Arabidopsis thaliana: one gene and its partners. The protein of the gene in region 1 interacts with the protein of each later gene in a pairwise test. Each region holds a gene or a part of one and is shown on either strand. Other genes may lie near its edges. The genes, in order: BHLH92, AT3G46600, GRF6 and LBD41.

The links.
Region 2: the proteins of BHLH92 (region 1) and AT3G46600 interact in a two-hybrid assay, tested with the Arabidopsis thaliana proteins (one large-scale study listed by BioGRID).
Region 3: the proteins of BHLH92 (region 1) and GRF6 interact in a two-hybrid assay, tested with the Arabidopsis thaliana proteins (one large-scale study listed by BioGRID).
Region 4: the proteins of BHLH92 (region 1) and LBD41 interact in a two-hybrid assay, tested with the Arabidopsis thaliana proteins (one large-scale study listed by BioGRID).

Annotation. Positions count from the first base shown.
Region 1 is NC_003076.8:17,532,372-17,536,809, reverse strand, and holds BHLH92 (basic helix-loop-helix (bHLH) DNA-binding superfamily protein), read left to right. Parts: upstream 1-2,013; 5' UTR 2,014-2,051; coding exon 2,052-2,402; intron 2,403-2,900; coding exon 2,901-3,191; coding exon of another isoform or gene 3,192-3,203; exon of another isoform or gene 3,204-3,398; coding exon 3,399-3,500; 3' UTR 3,501-3,680; downstream 3,681-4,438. Other genes in the region: AT5G43660 (2-oxoglutarate (2OG) and Fe(II)-dependent oxygenase superfamily protein), read left to right, coding at 1-20, 107-228, 305-473.
Region 2 is NC_003074.8:17,155,966-17,160,688, forward strand, and holds AT3G46600 (GRAS family transcription factor), read left to right. Parts: upstream 1-1,958; 5' UTR 1,959-2,082; coding exon 2,083-3,834; 3' UTR 3,835-4,000; downstream 4,001-4,723. Other genes in the region: AT3G46610 (Pentatricopeptide repeat (PPR-like) superfamily protein), read right to left, coding at 4,259-4,723. UniProt on the Arabidopsis thaliana protein: Probable transcription factor involved in plant development.
Region 3 is NC_003071.7:2,423,922-2,428,058, reverse strand, and holds GRF6 (growth-regulating factor 6), read right to left. Parts: upstream 1,884-4,137; 5' UTR 1,837-1,883; coding exon 1,524-1,836; exon of another isoform or gene 1,431-1,523; coding exon 1,211-1,430; intron 1,123-1,210; coding exon 804-1,122; 3' UTR 736-803; downstream 1-735.
Region 4 is NC_003074.8:535,622-539,815, reverse strand, and holds LBD41 (LOB domain-containing protein 41), read left to right. Parts: upstream 1-1,689; 5' UTR 1,690-2,165; coding exon 2,166-2,355; intron 2,356-2,467; coding exon 2,468-3,069; 3' UTR 3,070-3,316; downstream 3,317-4,194. Other genes in the region: RAD23C (Rad23 UV excision repair protein family), read left to right, coding at 3,665-3,730.

The DNA of each region.
Region 1 (4,438 bases):
AAGCAGGTCCAAAGCCAGAGGTATGTGAGTCCTCTTACGTTCCTATATTCAGTAAATGGCAAAATGGTTAGCTAATAAAGGAACCAATTATTTCTCACTGAAACAGGAAATTTTTGAGTACTGTCATGAACCGGGTCAAGCTATACTTCACCTTGGCTGCCACAGCCATGGTGCAAAAGCCGCCATAACATCTTGTAGTCGGGCCAATATGATTCTTTGGTGCATAAAGTAAGCAATCATGAAGCTTGCCTCAGGATTTCAGATCACAACTAAAACACCTTTTCTTCTGCATTTCCATTTGCAGCTCTTTGTTCAGAGAGATGCAAACTTATGACAACGAATTCCGAGACTGGTGCGGTCAATGCGCCCGTGAAAAGAAAGAAAAGAAAAGCCAGAGTCTTGCTTCCAAAAGAAAGGTTAAGAAAAGAAAAAAGGACATGATTTTGCTCAAGTTTATAAGATGTTTTGTTTGAGCATGGTTATGAACCTGTGGGGGTCCTTATTGCAGGAGATGATTAGGATAATAGAGTGAAGCCGAAGCCCGCTGAAAAAAATGAAGTCTATGCTTTGAATTTTGACTCTTTACTTGGAAAATAACACTGAGTATATGTAGAATCATTTGATGTAAATAGGTCTTTGTGTCTTCGAATTTCTTACATTACTACTATGTACATGAAAGTTACCAGTTACATGTTTAGGATCGGCTATATGTTTACAGTTTACTCGCCGTATCGAAGCAGTGTTCAGTGTCAGCTGAAAAAGAGTACATATAGCCGGTCCATTCGGTTAGACTCATGAAAACCGGTTTAGTAATCATATGTTTACAGTGTCAGCTTTTTTTTTGAAATGTATGATTTGGTTAACCGGTTTTAAAATTGTGAACCAATTCAATTGTGCAATTCCGAACACTAGCGATTCGAAGTAGAGAAAGTAACATTGTACCAAGCTAAACCAACGGCGATGAATGCTAGAACCGCGATGTGATGTGTGATTAAAGAGAAGGTTAGGAGGAAGTAGAGGATGATAAATTGATTCGGAAATGTGTGAGGTTTTGTGTGACGCGTGTGGTGGCGTCGGCGATGGACTAGCGGCGCTGGTGATTGGTTGTGCGGTTTCTTTAACGCCGGAGATTACTTGATTCGCCACCATTGTTGCTCTGGATTCTAGAAACTTCTGAAAATCCTAAATTCGTTGGGAAAAGAGGAGAAAGTCAAACTGATTCATGAGAAGTTAAGAAAGCCCAAGCCCATTAAATTGAGTATCACTTAATTCGTTATTTATACTAAAAAAGATCGTTTTCTAGAATCGAAGTTGGTAGTGTAAAAGAAAAAGAAGTTGAAGAAGCAAGAATTTTCCATCGAAGTGGTCAATTATCCGAGTGTAGTAAAGATAAAATCTCTTATCAGAAAATAAAATAATCGAAGTTGGTCAATATTTTTAGTCAAGTCATTCACACGAGGAAATTTCCCACCCAAGAGTTAGGATACGTGGAAAGAAAATCTCAATGACTAATGTGTTACAATAATTAGACGAAGAATAAACTAATGCCACACACACACACGCACAAATTCCACTTGTGATGACTGATGAACTTAATTATTATTATTAAACCCTAAGGTTTGATAAAACGGTATAGGGCCGGCTCTTTTCTTTTCTCCACGGTGTTGTGTTTTTTGAACTCACAAAGGAGATTTTGTACTTTAACTTCAAAAAGAAAATTGGTTAATTTGAAAACAAACAAACAAATAGTTATAGCTTTTACGCGTCACGTAATGTCTAAATTTTGTTGCCAAGACACGTCACTTGACTTTCTCTAGAGTTCACCTTTGATACATCATTTGACTGTCTCTGGTTTTCTCCTATATACGTCACTTCATCTAACCAAGAAGCTGAGAAAACTATTCATTGACCACGTTCTCAATATGTTTCACGTGTGTTAAATCAACAAAACCACACGTGATTAAATCATAATAGGTATATAGACACACCACACAAAAGACAACATCAAAAATCACACAAATCAAGATTGTCAAACACACTAAGAGAGAAAGATGGATAACTTTTTTCTAGGTTTGAGTTGTCAAGAAGAAAACAACTTCTGGGATCTAATCGTGGCCGACATCTCGGGTGATAGAAGCGTCAGTGTACCTATCAGAAGCGCCTTTAGGTCATATATGAAGGACACGGAACTGAGGATGATGTCGCCGAAGATATCTTCTTCGAAGGTGAACGTGAAGAAGAGAATGGTCAATCTTCTGAGAAAGAATTGGGAGGAGAAGAAAAATACGGTGGCTCCAGAGAAGGAAAGAAGCCGGCGACATATGTTGAAAGAAAGGACGAGAAGAGAGAAACAAAAACAGAGTTACTTAGCTCTCCATTCTCTACTACCATTTGCCACTAAGGTACCTTGATTATTTGTGTAATATTAAACTTGAAACGAACTTTATTTTTCTTAATGACTTGGAAAGAAAATCATAGTAGTTCTAACAAAAATCCGAATTTTTACAGTTCAAAATGGCACACAAAATTAGATATTCGGTAGAAATGGATTAGATTCATGGATACTAAATTTTCAGAATTTCGACTACTATGTCTGTTCACTGATCTTTGATGTTTGTATGCTTAATTACATGCATTGATCTGGTTTTAGAAGCTTATCTTAAATATCTATAAATTTATATTGAGTAAGGTATAATATAAAGTTTTGAGTATGATAAATTTCCAACTACAATCATTTGTATAAAATGTTTGTAAGTTTTTGCACTGGAATCTTTTCTTTTATCACTATTTTCTTTTACTTAAGGATTTTGATATAGAAACAAGTTTAAAGAACATCATAGATTGATATCGAAACAAGTTTCAAGACCATCATTTCTCCTTATATTCTCATTTTATTTCAGAATGACAAAAATTCGATTGTCGAAAAAGCCGTGGATGAGATTGCGAAATTACAAAGATTAAAGAAAGAACTAGTGAGAAGAATTAAAGTGATTGAGGAAAAATCAGCAAAGGATGGTCATGATGAAATGAGTGAAACAAAGGTTAGGGTTAATCTAAAAGAACCTTTGTCTGGACTAGATTCAATGCTTGAAGCGCTTCATTATCTTAAATCAATGGGAACAAAACTGAAAACAGTCCATGCCAATTTCTCTCCTCAAGAGTTTTCTGCGACCATGACCATCGAGACTCAGGTACATATTTAATTCGATTCGAATTGGTTGAATCCGGTTTTGGTTTCTCTTTGGTTATGACAACTTGACAAGTACATAAAGGTAATAATAGGTAGGTTGTTTTGTGTTAGTAGCAAAAAAAAAGTAGATGGTTGTATGTTTTTTTAATTAAGTAGTTAGATCTGTATTAGTGTGATGATATTAAATTTAAAGTTAACTTTTTGGCAGATTAGAGGAGAGGAGGTTGAAAAGAGAGTGGAAAGAAGACTCCAGGAAACTGAATGGAAACTTCTCTTTCTCCCAGAAGCTTCCTTTTACAAAGACTACTAATTCTGTTGACTTTCTGTCATTAATTTTCTTTTGTATTTAAATTTGTATATAGTTAAATACTTAAATTAACTGGTCATTGCTTTATTGACACACATAAAGAAAAATAATGGGGCACACTACTTTTGAGTTTTGAGTTTTGAGGTTTGAAAAATAAAACTAAGAAAATAATATTGATAGAATATAATAGAAAATTTATCAAGTATATAACCATATATAGTGCCAAAATTTGCAAATTGTGTGATAGATAATTTGGTAAATATGTAATGCATTTTATCAATAAAAAATACCATAAAATTTGATTAAAACCAGCATAAAAACCTATCCCAATTAAAGTTTATTTTGAAAAATAGAAATTGGAAAGTTCAATACTTTGGCTATTATTATTTATTATTCAATACTATTTACTACGTACACTCTATAGTAAGAGTTTTTAAACATACAATGTTATTCTTCAACTTAATACGTTGCTGGAACAAGTAAACAACTCAAAACATTAAATAACTAGGAACATAGGGATTAATATATTTGTGCGTTACAATCTTAATAATTGTGAACTAGTACTATCTTATTAGCAAATACACTTGTTCACCATGTGGTTCATTATTTAATTACTTATGAAATCGCCAAAAAAGACCATAGATTTGTCATAGGAAATACAAAAATGGATAATAAACTTTCACCTACCGAGTCAAAACAAGAAGGAACTAAACAAGAAAACAGCTCCTTCAACCAAAACTTTTTGCATATTTATCAAATATTTGAAAACTTTAAATTTGGTAAAATGAATGAGGAGCAAAATAAGATAATTTAACACAGTACTCAAATCTAAACCCTCCTGGTGGAGTTAAACAGAAAGTCATCAAAATAATTATCGAAATTAAGACTTAAAAATGAGATCAAAGTCATCTAAGAAGATAGATATGGAGATAAGTAGCTTC
Region 2 (4,723 bases), on another chromosome or scaffold:
TAAAGAACCTTTGTGTATTATTATGATGATCCATATTGTAAGATTCTGACATAGTTGAAGATCTGGTCTCAGTTCTTCTTTGTTTTTTTTTTTCTTTCTTTCAAATGTAAAGTTTTATAATTGGAAATAAGGTTGGGTTTTTTCTAACAATGTAAAGGATTTGTTGTAAATCTTTGGTGACATTTTTATTCTGTCTATATGATTTATGGCTCGGCCTATCATATCACAACGACAACGAACTGATATATATATACCTCATCCAAACTCTAGGAGTGCTGGAGAATTCAATTGTTGGATAAATTGTTACTCAAGCTGGTCTATGTTTGGTCAGTTTATGGTTCACATGTGTCCTATATTAGGAAAGAATACACAGAAGCTTGTGCTTGTGAGTGGTATGTGTGCTATGGTATTTACCTTAAATACGGGTCGTTCAGAGTAATAAGCTGGTCTCAAAGCCTCTTTTAAAGGCTATAGCCACAAACAAAGGCACAAAATCCTGGATCTCTAACCAGTAAAGAAGTCGATGTTGAACTAAAGTTCGCAAATATTTGCAGATAGCATTGAGTAGGCAAGCTCTTCCCACTTTTTTTTTTTTTTTTTTCACTGAACTGTTGCCTTTCATTGAATATTGGAGTTTGTGAAAAAATTTAAAGCAATTAGCAATAAAATCAAAAGGATATTGAAGTTTACATTTGGACCTGGACGAGATAATAGAGGATAACGTTCAATTTATTAGAAGTTATGATGACTGATATATTTACCGATTTAAAACTAATATATTTAGCAACTTGACGCAGCAAGAAAATTATGATTCTTAACTAATATACACCATATTATATATATTTAGAAGATTTAATTAATATTTAAAATTATGCTTTTTATTTGATTTTGTTTTAAATCGTCATATAATACATAAAATAAAATCAAAAAACAATTTTTTTTTATACATATATTGTGATTTTTAATTTTAAACACGGACACGTATTACCCAATTGACAAAATAATGTGTATGTTTAATGTTCCACATTGACTAAAATATTTAGACAATGATTCAGAATCATATCATATAATGAATATTTACAATAATAAAATAACTGGGTTTTTGTTGGAATGGGTTTTGCGGAACGGATTTTTGAATCTACATTAATAACAAATTAAAATATCATTAATCTGCCGTTTCAATACATATTAAATCTTTTTTTTAACACCACTAATATTATACATATCAAATCAGTCTGATTTAAAAAAATATATATAAAACCAAAATGTCTCATGGTATAATGTTACTATATAAAAATTGTAAATTATAAAATATTAATGTCTTAGAGAATTGTATAATTTTCAAACTTTTATATATAATAAATAATCATTAAATTTTAAAAATCACTACTTAAAAAAAAAAAAAAAATCAAGGGACAGGTTATACAATTAAGATTTACATCTTGTTTTTTTTTTGGAATTTTGGTGATGTGGTAACAGACTACTAAATAGTTTACGCGTATTATATGCAAAATAAATTATCAAACAAATATATTGTAGTAAATTATAAAATTTACTATATTATTATTTAAAAACTGAAATTTGCTTGTGTCTTGTAGAAAAAAAAACTGAACCAAAACAAACTTAATTTACTTCGAAGTTTTATATTTCGTTATACAAAAAGAAAAAGTCTAAATTTCTAAATACATTTAGAAAATATATTCAAGGTAATAACTAATAAGTCAAATATTTGACCAGACAAGTGACCAAAAGGAAGACAACAACAAGAAAACAAATAGCTTTTTAGCCATTTGGACCCACGACAGTAGATAAAGTCTTGGACATATTATTACTAACCTTTTGTGGCGGCTTAGTGTTTATCTTCAACCCCACACATTCTCTGTTTCCTCGAAACTTCATTTTTCTTCTTTGCCAAGACAAAGATTAAATAAGACAAATATCAACCCTATCCTTTGTTTATATCAACAACATCTCGCAACTTGTGTTCACATGAAACTTCTCACTACTCTCTTTCATTTCCTCTTTTCGTTGACTTACTAAAGTACTCTTGTTTCAATCTTCATTCTAGAGAGATTCTGTTTCATGGATGCTATTTTGCCAGTACCCGTTGATGGGTTCAGATTCGACACCGGTTCTGGATCTTGTTGCAAACCGAGGAACAATCTTGAATCTGGGACGACCAATCGTTTCACTTGTTTCAACGAATCTGAATCTCAGAGCAACCCTTCTCCGACCGAGTCTAAGGTATGTTCAGATTACCTTCCTGTCTTTAAGTACATCAATGACATGTTGATGGAAGAAGATCTTGAAGGTCAGTCTTGTATGTTGGAAGACAGTTTGGCTTTACAAGCCGCAGAGAGATCTTTCTTCGAAGTGCTTCAAGATCAAACTCCAATCTCGGGTGATCTAGAGGATGGTTCTCTTGGAAACTTCAGTTCTATAACGAGTTTGCATCAACCTGAAGTTTCAGAGGAGTCAACCAGAAGGTATCGACATAGGGATGATGATGAAGATGATGATCTTGAGAGTGGAAGGAAATCGAAGCTCCCTGCGATTTCTACGGTGGATGAGTTAGCAGAGAAGTTTGAGGAAGTGTTGTTGGTATGTCAAAAGAATGATCAGGGAGAAGCAACAGAGAAGAAAACAAGACACGTAAAAGGCTCATCGAATCGATACAAGCAGCAAAAGTCAGATCAGCCAGTAGATATGAGGAATCTTTTGATGCAATGCGCGCAAGCTGTGGCGAGTTTTGACCAGAGAAGAGCTTTTGAGAAACTGAAGGAGATAAGAGAACACTCTTCTCGCCACGGTGATGCGACTCAAAGACTTGGTTATCACTTTGCTGAGGCGCTTGAAGCTCGTATTACAGGAACCATGACTACACCAATATCTGCTACTTCTAGCAGAACATCAATGGTGGACATTTTGAAGGCGTACAAGGGATTTGTTCAGGCTTGCCCCACCTTAATAATGTGTTATTTCACTGCAAACAGAACAATCAATGAGCTTGCTTCCAAAGCAACCACACTTCACATCATTGATTTTGGGATTCTCTATGGATTTCAATGGCCTTGTCTGATACAAGCTTTGTCAAAACGTGACATCGGACCACCACTGCTCCGTGTGACTGGTATCGAGCTTCCTCAGTCAGGTTTCCGTCCATCAGAGCGGGTAGAAGAGACCGGGCGAAGACTAAAGAGGTTCTGTGACAAGTTCAATGTCCCGTTTGAGTACAGTTTCATAGCCAAGAATTGGGAGAACATAACTCTTGATGATCTGGTGATCAATAGTGGCGAGACAACAGTTGTCAACTGCATCCTCCGGCTACAATATACACCTGATGAAACCGTGTCCCTCAACTCACCGAGAGACACGGCTCTGAAACTATTCAGAGACATCAACCCTGACCTCTTTGTGTTTGCAGAGATTAACGGGACTTACAATTCACCCTTCTTCCTAACAAGGTTCAGAGAAGCTCTCTTCCATTGCTCGTCACTCTTTGACATGTATGAGACCACATTATCAGAAGACGACAATTGCAGGACACTGGTGGAGAGGGAACTAATCATAAGAGATGCAATGAGTGTGATAGCCTGTGAAGGGTCTGAGCGGTTTGCAAGGCCAGAGACCTACAAGCAATGGCAGGTTAGGATTCTAAGAGCAGGATTTAGACCAGCGAAACTAAGCAAACAGATAGTAAAGGACGGGAAAGAGATAGTGAAAGAACGTTACCACAAAGATTTTGTGATCGACAATGATAACCACTGGATGTTTCAGGGCTGGAAAGGAAGAGTCCTTTATGCTGTTTCTTGCTGGAAACCTGCTAAGAAGTAATAAAACAGTTCTGTAATCATTTGCATAATTTTGCTAGCTTTCCATTTCTTTGTTTTTGGTTTCAAAGTGTTGTAGAAACTGTTTGCTCTCATATATATTGAATGAGTCTCTCTCTTTCTCTCTACTTTCTTGCAAGTACATATGGCAAACCAAGAATTCAAAACTTATTTCAAAAAGATCCATAACTTTGAACTGAACAAACCAGTTTGCATATCAATGTGTCTGATGATAATACAGATGTTGTACGAAGATAAAAATTCACAATATAAACAGAGAGACTAGACAAACTAAAAAGAGTATTAAAGAACAAGAAAGTGATTACTTGGAAACTTTCTTCTTCCCTGTAATGGCAATTTTCTTGCCTTTAAGGGTCCTTGGATGCGCCTTACCCCACGGTAACCTTGTACAATGTGTTTTCGTCAGACTAAGGTCTATTCTTTTTGTCTGGTCGAGGACCCAAAAGATTAAGATCAATGGTGGCTCCATAAGTCTCAGCTGATTTAACAACCGCATCATATGGCTTAGAAGAGAGTTTAAGCCCTTCGTTTTGAGCCTTCACATGTAACTCATAAGCAAGCCTTGGCTTTGCATCATTTGCAAGAGCCTCAATCAACATCTCGTAAGTTATCTCGTTAGGCTCAACATTCTCACTTTTCATTCTATGAAACCACTCATAAGCCACACCACTTAACCCGTTCCTCGCGCAACCACTTATAACCGCGTTGAAAGTCACAACGCTCGGTTCAATACCCTTTGAAGCCATTTCCTTGAGAAGGGTATCCAAAAGATTGAACTTTTGCTGTCCTGTCAAAACTGAAGCCATTGTTGTGTACGCGTAAAGATTTGGCTCAATCCCTACCTTAATCATATGGTTCCAAACCCGAAACGC
Region 3 (4,137 bases), on another chromosome or scaffold:
CTTGAAGGATTTGGTACTGTTTCTGCAGTTTCTTCTGTTCCCTTTTACTTTAATTTTTCTTTTGGGTTTTTAGGTTTCATGTTGCTCTCTCTCTCTCTCTCTCTCTCTGTAGGATCTCTTTCAACTTTTCAGAACATATTGACTGCAATTATAGTTTATAAGCAACAAAATTACACGCACACACAAGTATAATTTGCTTTATGTCATGTACTCATGTGTGTGAGTGAAGAAATAATAATTCAGTTTGATGAGAATAAGAGAAGTCGTCTTTCTCTCTCACTGAGTCAGAGCAGAAAGCTTTTGATTGGGTGTGTGGCTTTTTCAGACCTGACCAAACTCAGTCAGGGAGCAGAACTCAACTCAACTCAATTGCAAAACCTGTCTTTTTTTTACTCTTTTCTTATTTTCTTCATCATTTTTTTCTATAACATAACCTTTAAGAAAAATTATTTACTGTTTTAATTATAAAAAAAAACTATTTACTATCCACAGTAAATAGTTTAATGAACAAGTTTCTGACAAAAAGAATCAGAAATAATTAATTACAGAAACATGAATTGATAAATTTGTTGCTAATCAATGACTTAGTGACATCGTACTATCACTAATATTGACAAGAGATGAGCAGAAACAATTTAAACATTGAAACCAAACTAATATAACTACTTTACACAAGTTAAATCTTTTATGCTAATATAATGCATGGATCACAAAAAGAAACTCCTAATTAAATTAGACAAAAAAAGAGAGAATTTGCATTACCATCTTAACAAGAAATACAAGGTTATAAGAACAAAAGATGATCAAATGAAGAGTGAAGTAGAAACAGAAGATTTAGAAGAAGGCCATTCATCAAGAAACCTATAAAACCTCTTGCTTCCTTGCTCTTCTTCATTATCATGATCTCTTTGTTTCAGCTTCTCCTCTAACATCAATGGCCTCTCACGTGTCCTCAAGTCAGTACCAAGGATGAAGCAATGTCGATCCGGCTGCTTCTCCTCGTTGTTGATGCCTCTACATGAGCCATCATCATTATCTTCCATTGCTGAGCCAGAGCAGCTTTTGATTGACCCGGAAGGTTCTATGGAGAAGAAATCATCCATGTATCCACTTCTTCTTCTTCTACTTTCAAACATGTTTTGAAGATAAAAAATAGTCAATCATTGTGTTGTCATTAGAGTAAAACAGAGGAGGAAGGTGTGTTTGAAACCTGGAAGAAGAGTCGAGAAAGAGATTTGGAGTGAATTGAGTAGGAGGAGGCTTTCTTGAGGAAGAACGGTTCTTGCCTCTATGCATATGTCTCTCACAGTACTTAGAGTCAGGGTAAGCTTCTTTAGAGCATCTCCATTTCTTGCCATCAGTTCTTCTACATCTTCCTGGCTCTGCATCTATCTTTCTTCCCATTCCCATCTCATACACATTCCACCCAACTGAAAAAAAAGAGTCAAATTCGTTTACATTATCACCAAACCCTAAGGATAACCATCATAGAGCACAAAGCAAAGAAGATAAAGTGTGCTTACAGTGTGGAGAAAGAGTGGGAGAGAAGAAGCTTGAAGAAGAAGATGAAGAAGAAGAAGAAGAGAAGAGAAAGGGTCTTTTGATGAGGAAGAGAAGATGAGGTGGAACAGGCATATTTGCAGCTAAGTACTTGAACACAAGAGCTTGGTTTTCAAGTTCTTCCCATTGTGATTCTGTGAATGGAATCCTTGTAGCCATGAAGAGAGAAAGAGAAAGAGAGATGAAGAAGAAAGAGAGATTAAAGATTGGGATTTGTATTGGAAAATTGAAAGTGTAAGAGAGTAGTAGGTATGTTTTTATTGATAAAGTGTCCATTGGTCACCTGCAGTCTGCAGAATCTCTGTGCTTCATGTCCTCTTCTTGTTTATTATTCCTTTTTCTTATTTCTTAAAATTTTCTTTTCAGCTTTAGTTTTGGTTTTATCTTAAGCACCATTTCAGGTTTTTCTTTTCCTTCTTAAAAGCTAAATTTTGTGACAAGGGGCATAGATAACTTATGTTTAATTTATTTACGTATTATATTCAGGAGTTTGTAACTTTTGTTTGCGTTTAGAAAAACGAGAAAATTTGGTAACCGAAAAGAGAATCTACCAAGTTACATACGTATACGTAAACAATATCCTTCGGGATTGACTCTATTAAGTTCTAATTATTTTTGGTTGACAAAAAAAAAATCTAACAAGTCATGAAACTTAAGAGGTAAAGTTGTGTACAAAATAATAAGACATTAAAAATTTCAGCTCTAATGTTGGGTTGTTATGATATCTTTTGAGTCATATAACTTATATCTCAAACTTTAGTATATGTGAGAAAGAAAAAATAAGAAAAAAAAAATACTTATTTGTGAAAGAAGCTTGAATTTAACCCTACAATATTTAAGATGTTTTTAGCATTTATATTCGATCCTAAATATAGTAAGTAAATAGCCAAGTGAGAGGATTTATGTCCCTCTTCTATTCTTCTTAATGTTTTAACTATAAAAAAAGAAACATGTAAGCATATTGCAACTATTACAAAGATCGTTATAAAGGTTTAGCTAACCACAAAGAACATTCTCTTAATCATTCATTATAGTATTAGAAAATAAAATGAAAGAAGTCCAATTGTAATGAGTTTATAAATTTTGAATTATACCAAATCATTATTTTTGTTCTTCAATCAAATAAACCGTATCGTGTAATGTGACATCTTTGGTTAGATAGACGACTCGTAGTACTCGTAGCTCCAACACATTCGACATTTATAAAATTAAGTGTACACGGTCCACTTGTGTTAAAAACACTATGCATGAATAATAAATTGTTTTGAATAAAAAATATTTATGAGAATAGAAGTAAAAAAGTTTGAGAGAGAGAGAGGGAAAATAATGAGTGAGTCTGCAAACTCTGAAAACTTCTGCACTCTCTGCGACTCTTCCCTTTCACAGCTCTCACTCACTCCCATACACACCCATCACTCATGCCACATCTCTTTCTCCCTCTTTTATTTTTGTTTTCTTTTGAATTTTTCTAAATTATTTTATATTTCTCAAAAGAAAAAAAACTGTGATTATTTTAATTATCTTTTTTCTTTGTTAAAGATTATTTTAATTATCAAAATTTAAAATTTTGTTCATGCCTATGTAAATAATTCATTTGAAGTCGGTCATCAAATGAAGTTAGACCCAATGCATTAACAGATGGTGGGGGTTTGTGAAAAAACCTCAGAAACTTACACTTCATAAAAACATGATTTATTTTCTTAGGAAAACCTCTAATACTAAAAATACATCTAAATTGATCATATAAATCATGTTTTTTATCCAAAAATATATAAGGTTGATAAATTAACTATATTTAAAAAGACTATATTTGAGACGTAACGATTTAAAAATATTTAGGCAGTTTTTTTTGAAAGATTAGAAACGATTATGTTGAAGTTATAAATAAAAGGTGTTTCACATAATACATACTCATAAATAAAGTTAATAGCATCTTAATCGTCTTCAATTTCTCTTTTATATATGAGACCGATTAATTTCCATGTAAAGATTATTTAATATTGACGGGAAGCAAAACATAAAGAACACTAAGCACATTAACGATGTTACTTAAAATTTTAAAAAGGAATATAAACAAACTGTTTTATTTGGGTAATTATGATTACTTTTTTCTTCATTTATTTATATAGAATTAAAATACTTACGGAGTCGGAACCTCTAGGAATAGCAATCACTATGCCTAAACATGAATCAAGTTCGCAAGCGTCGAATTTGAAAGGTTGAAACTTTGGAAATCCACCAGATTAGAGAAAAACTCTCTGCTTTTATTAATTAAAATGATAAAACGTGTCGAGCAAAAAACTTAGGGTCTTTCTATATATAGAGAAGAAACCAAATCATAAAATAGAAAACTCTAAGCAAAATAGAAAACTTGAAATAAGGAAATATGAAAAGAAATGTAAAACTGCTAAATCTCTCCTACATCAGTCTCCTCCACCTCTGAAGAACTTGTCCTCAAGTTCTCTTCTGGATAAAGGACCCCGTCTGCATGATACTCATGAATGTCAGCTACGTTGAAGGTATTGGAAATGTTCATTGATTTCGGGAGAGCCACAACATAAGCATTATCATTGATCT
Region 4 (4,194 bases), on another chromosome or scaffold:
GTCGAGACTTTATGTGTTAACTTCTTATTTCTGAAGTCTCGTTGTAACATATTAAACCAATTTGGGAGTGTTGTTCTCTTTTCTGTGTATAATAACCATTCTTCTTTTTTGGAGATTCTCAAGTCTTTGTAAATTGTAATCTTGATAAATTCAAAATGCTTTGTATTATTCGAACAAGCTTCCGTCTTTAGAGATTCTAATTGTCTTGTCTCTCTGGAATGGACAAGAGAAACGAAACGGAAAATAATGCGAATGAAACGGAGCCATCAGCGTTGACTACGTAACTTGACACTTACGAATTACGTACGGTCTATTCAACGAACGAAGATTCCTTCAATATTGTCGTGAACAAGAACACTAATCTCATGGACGCATTAAATGAATGGAAATAGTATTTGACTAGTTAATGTCGTTTAGAACTTAGTAAATTTTGAACCAAACCCATGGATATGAATTGCAGTAGAATCATAATACCAATCGGAAATACTAGTTAATTATTTTTTACAACTCATTAAATTTTGAACCAAAGACATGAATATGAATTGATGTATGAAACGCTACATTTTTGTCTTTTTGCTACGTGGTTTGTTGTTAAATGTACATGTTTTTTTAATAGAAAACAAGGATTTAACTCACGGTTTACCGCGGGCAATCGGTTTATTTGGTTTTTATACTAAATATTTGAGTAAATTTGATATCCTAAACTTATAAATATAAATTTTTTAATCAAACATAACTAAAAAATAATTTGGATTTTTTTTGTTGTTATTTAGTGATAAGAAGAATGTGTTAAAATGTGATTAAATTTTTTTTGCTTGTTATTTATTTATTTTTGTTGAACGGTTTAGATTGAAGGGAATTAATTTTATTGAACGGTTTAGATTTAATCGAATCATATAAAGTTTAGAAGATTGTTAAGACCAAATTACCCTTAATGATTTTGAATAACAAAGAACAAAATCCAAATTTGAAATAAAAATTAAGATCAAATTAGACAAAATTCAATTTGTACTTCCCTTATAATAATAAGAGGATACATAACAGAATCCACTAAACTCAAATCAAATGTGCTACAAAATGGGTCTCACAATATTGTAATGTAATCTGGTACAAAGTTAAATTTAAGTGGATTACGTAAGAAAGAATATCAAAGCTGAGTTTTGGTTGTCTGGATTAAACTATAAGGTGGGGAAAATAAGAATTAATCTAAAGGTGATTAAAGATAAAATTTATTAAGTAAAAGATGATTTAAGATTACGTTTTTTACGAAAGCGTCGGCTAACAGAGAGAGTCACAAAGATCCGCCCACAGGGAGAGAAGAAGAAAAGATCAAAAACCGGAAACCATAAAACCAGAAACCAGTCAATAGTTTTGGACATAGTTGAAAGCAGTATTGTTAAAACAGATTCTTTTCCAGAAAACCAGGAGCTAAGTGTGGGCCCCAGTTCTTCCAAATGCTCCTCAAATGACTCAAATCCCATCTGGATGACTTACGTGGCGATTCGACCAAATTTCTTACTCGCGAGCGTGGAGGCCACGTGTCTTATCACAGTCTCTTCAAACACATTTAAGACAATTTAACCAAAATCCTACTCCATAGATACTCTGAATTGGTCAGATACTTTAATCAACAACCATATTAAATCGTTTTAGAACGAATTAGATTGTATAATCCAGAATTTATAGACTATTCACTAGTAATTAAAAAATGGTAACTTGATATGTCACGTGTATGACACGCGCATTGGATAGAGTGGGGACAAAAACATAACTTGGGGAAGAAACACAAGAAGCAAAACCTTGAATCAGGGTGAAGAAAAACAGCGGCGGTTCTGGGAAAATAAAGGAAGGATTTTGTAATTAAAAGACAAAACAACCCTTGTCTTTAGAGAAAAACAGCTCTTCTTATCTTGTTTTCTTTGTCTTCTGCCTTCTTCCCTTGGTTTTATAATCTCTCTCCGCTTCCCCCAAAAATCCAGGGGCTTCTTACACGCACACAATCCTTTAAAGCTATCGTCTTTCTTATATAATCAGTGAATCTTCATTAACACCTCCCACAAAATCTCAGAAATAACTTTCACAACAGAGTCAAAGAGTTCCAAATCGTTTGTTTGTATTTTGTACGATCAAAGTTGTTGGTACTTGTAAGATAATCGAAACCAAAGATGCGGATGAGCTGTAATGGATGCAGAGTTCTTCGGAAAGGGTGTAGTGAGGATTGTAGTATAAGGCCGTGTTTGGCTTGGATCAAATCGCCTGAAGCGCAAGCTAACGCAACTGTCTTTCTCGCCAAGTTCTATGGCCGTGCTGGACTCATGAACCTCATCAACGCCGGTCCCAATCACCTTCGTCCTGGTTAGTGGTTTTTCTTTTAACCTTTTGATGGCAGTTTTGAATTATACTTTCCAACGATGCCGTTTCGTCTTAGGTCATTTTTTGAACCTAATTAGATCAAATATTTTTGCAGGGATTTTCCGATCGTTGTTGCACGAAGCTTGTGGGAGGATTGTGAATCCGATCTATGGTTCGGTGGGTTTGTTGTGGTCGGGGAATTGGCAGCTTTGTCAAGACGCCGTGGAGGCTGTGATGAAAGGAGAACCGGTCAAAGAGATCGCCACAGACGCTGCGACGATCGGCCAAGGTCCGCCTCTTAAGATCTACGACATCCGACATATCTCCAAGGATGATAACTCTGCCGCCGCGGCTACTGGCTCAACCGATTTGAAACTTGCGAAAACTCGCCGTGCTAAGCGGGTCTCCACCGTCGCGATACAGGCGGAATCGGAGGGAAAGTCTGACGAGGCTAGTCACGATTCGTCGTTGAGTCATCAGTCTGAAATAGTGGCTGCTCATGAAGGAGAGAGCAAGGAATCCGAGAGCAATGTCTCTGAGGTTTTGGCATTCTCGCCTCCGGCTGTGAAGGGCTCCGGCGAGATAAAGCTTGACCTAACTTTAAGGCTCGAACCGGTGTCACGTGCGTATCATGTGGTACCTGTTAAGAAGAGAAGGATCGGCGTGTTTGGCACGTGTCAGAAGGAGAGCACGTGTAAGACTGAGCTTATGCTCTAAGCTCCGTTTTAGCTATACTCAGAAGTTTTGCCCCCATCAGCTCTATTCGGCTCGGCTCTGATGATCTTCAAGTCGAGCCGGTAACTTTTTTTTAATATATAGTTCTCTATTTCCCCCTTTAATGTTCACTTTCCATTTGTGACAAAAGAATAGAGTATATGTACAAAATTATTTACAGAGATTAATTCAAGAATTGGCTGAGATATTATCTATTTTTTAACGAATAAAAGCAAAAAATTTATAAAAAGAAAGTTGATTTATTTCTAAATATTATGGGCCTATCTGCTATCATTTAATAAGTGATATTTTGGGCCTATCCTTTCACGACTGTATTAAGGAAATTGTCAATACCACGTGGCATATTTTAATAGGATAATGGCGGCTGACCTGGCAGAGTTGAAAGCACAAGCCATGTGCTTCGGGTGTGATCCAGTGGAGATATCGAGGGAACGCAAAGGTAGGGGCCAGATTCTGTAGTACCTTCTTCGCCTACCTACTCTCTTTCCCGAATTTATTTGCCGGCGGTGATCAATCAGAACGGGATTTTAGCCTGAGTAATCGGTCACTGGGAAGAGAATTTCGACGGTGAGAGAAGATGAAGATATTTGTGAAAACTCTCAAGGGGACTCACTTCGAGATCGAAGTAAAACCCGAGGATTCGGTATGCGAATTTCTACAGATAGTTTCCTTACTTGTCAATTGAGACTGTTGAATTACGTATCCGAGGAGGTTTCTCGATCGAGTTTATTGTTCTCTCGGTAGAGTCGGTTTTCTCAATTAAGTTTCTCGATCGAGTATTTGATTTGGTCGATTTTAGAGGTTTCTCTGTTCTTTCGTGATCTGAGAGCTAGTTCTTATAAGTGGAATGTGGTAATTTGGAGGTTTCTAAAGAGAATTTAAACAATTCAGCAATCTTTGTCTATGGGTTTGTTTGGCCATCTTTTTTAGTAATTTCACTGCTTGTAGTGGGAATGAGCTCATTTCATTTGCATTTGAAGTGTGTTTGTTACTACTATGTTTGGATCCATTAACCTTCTGCTTCTCCTAAGTGTTTTCCAATTGGGGAATTTACAGTCTGTCACTGAACTGAGAGTTGTGCAACAACATTTCCATTTTAAAAGATTT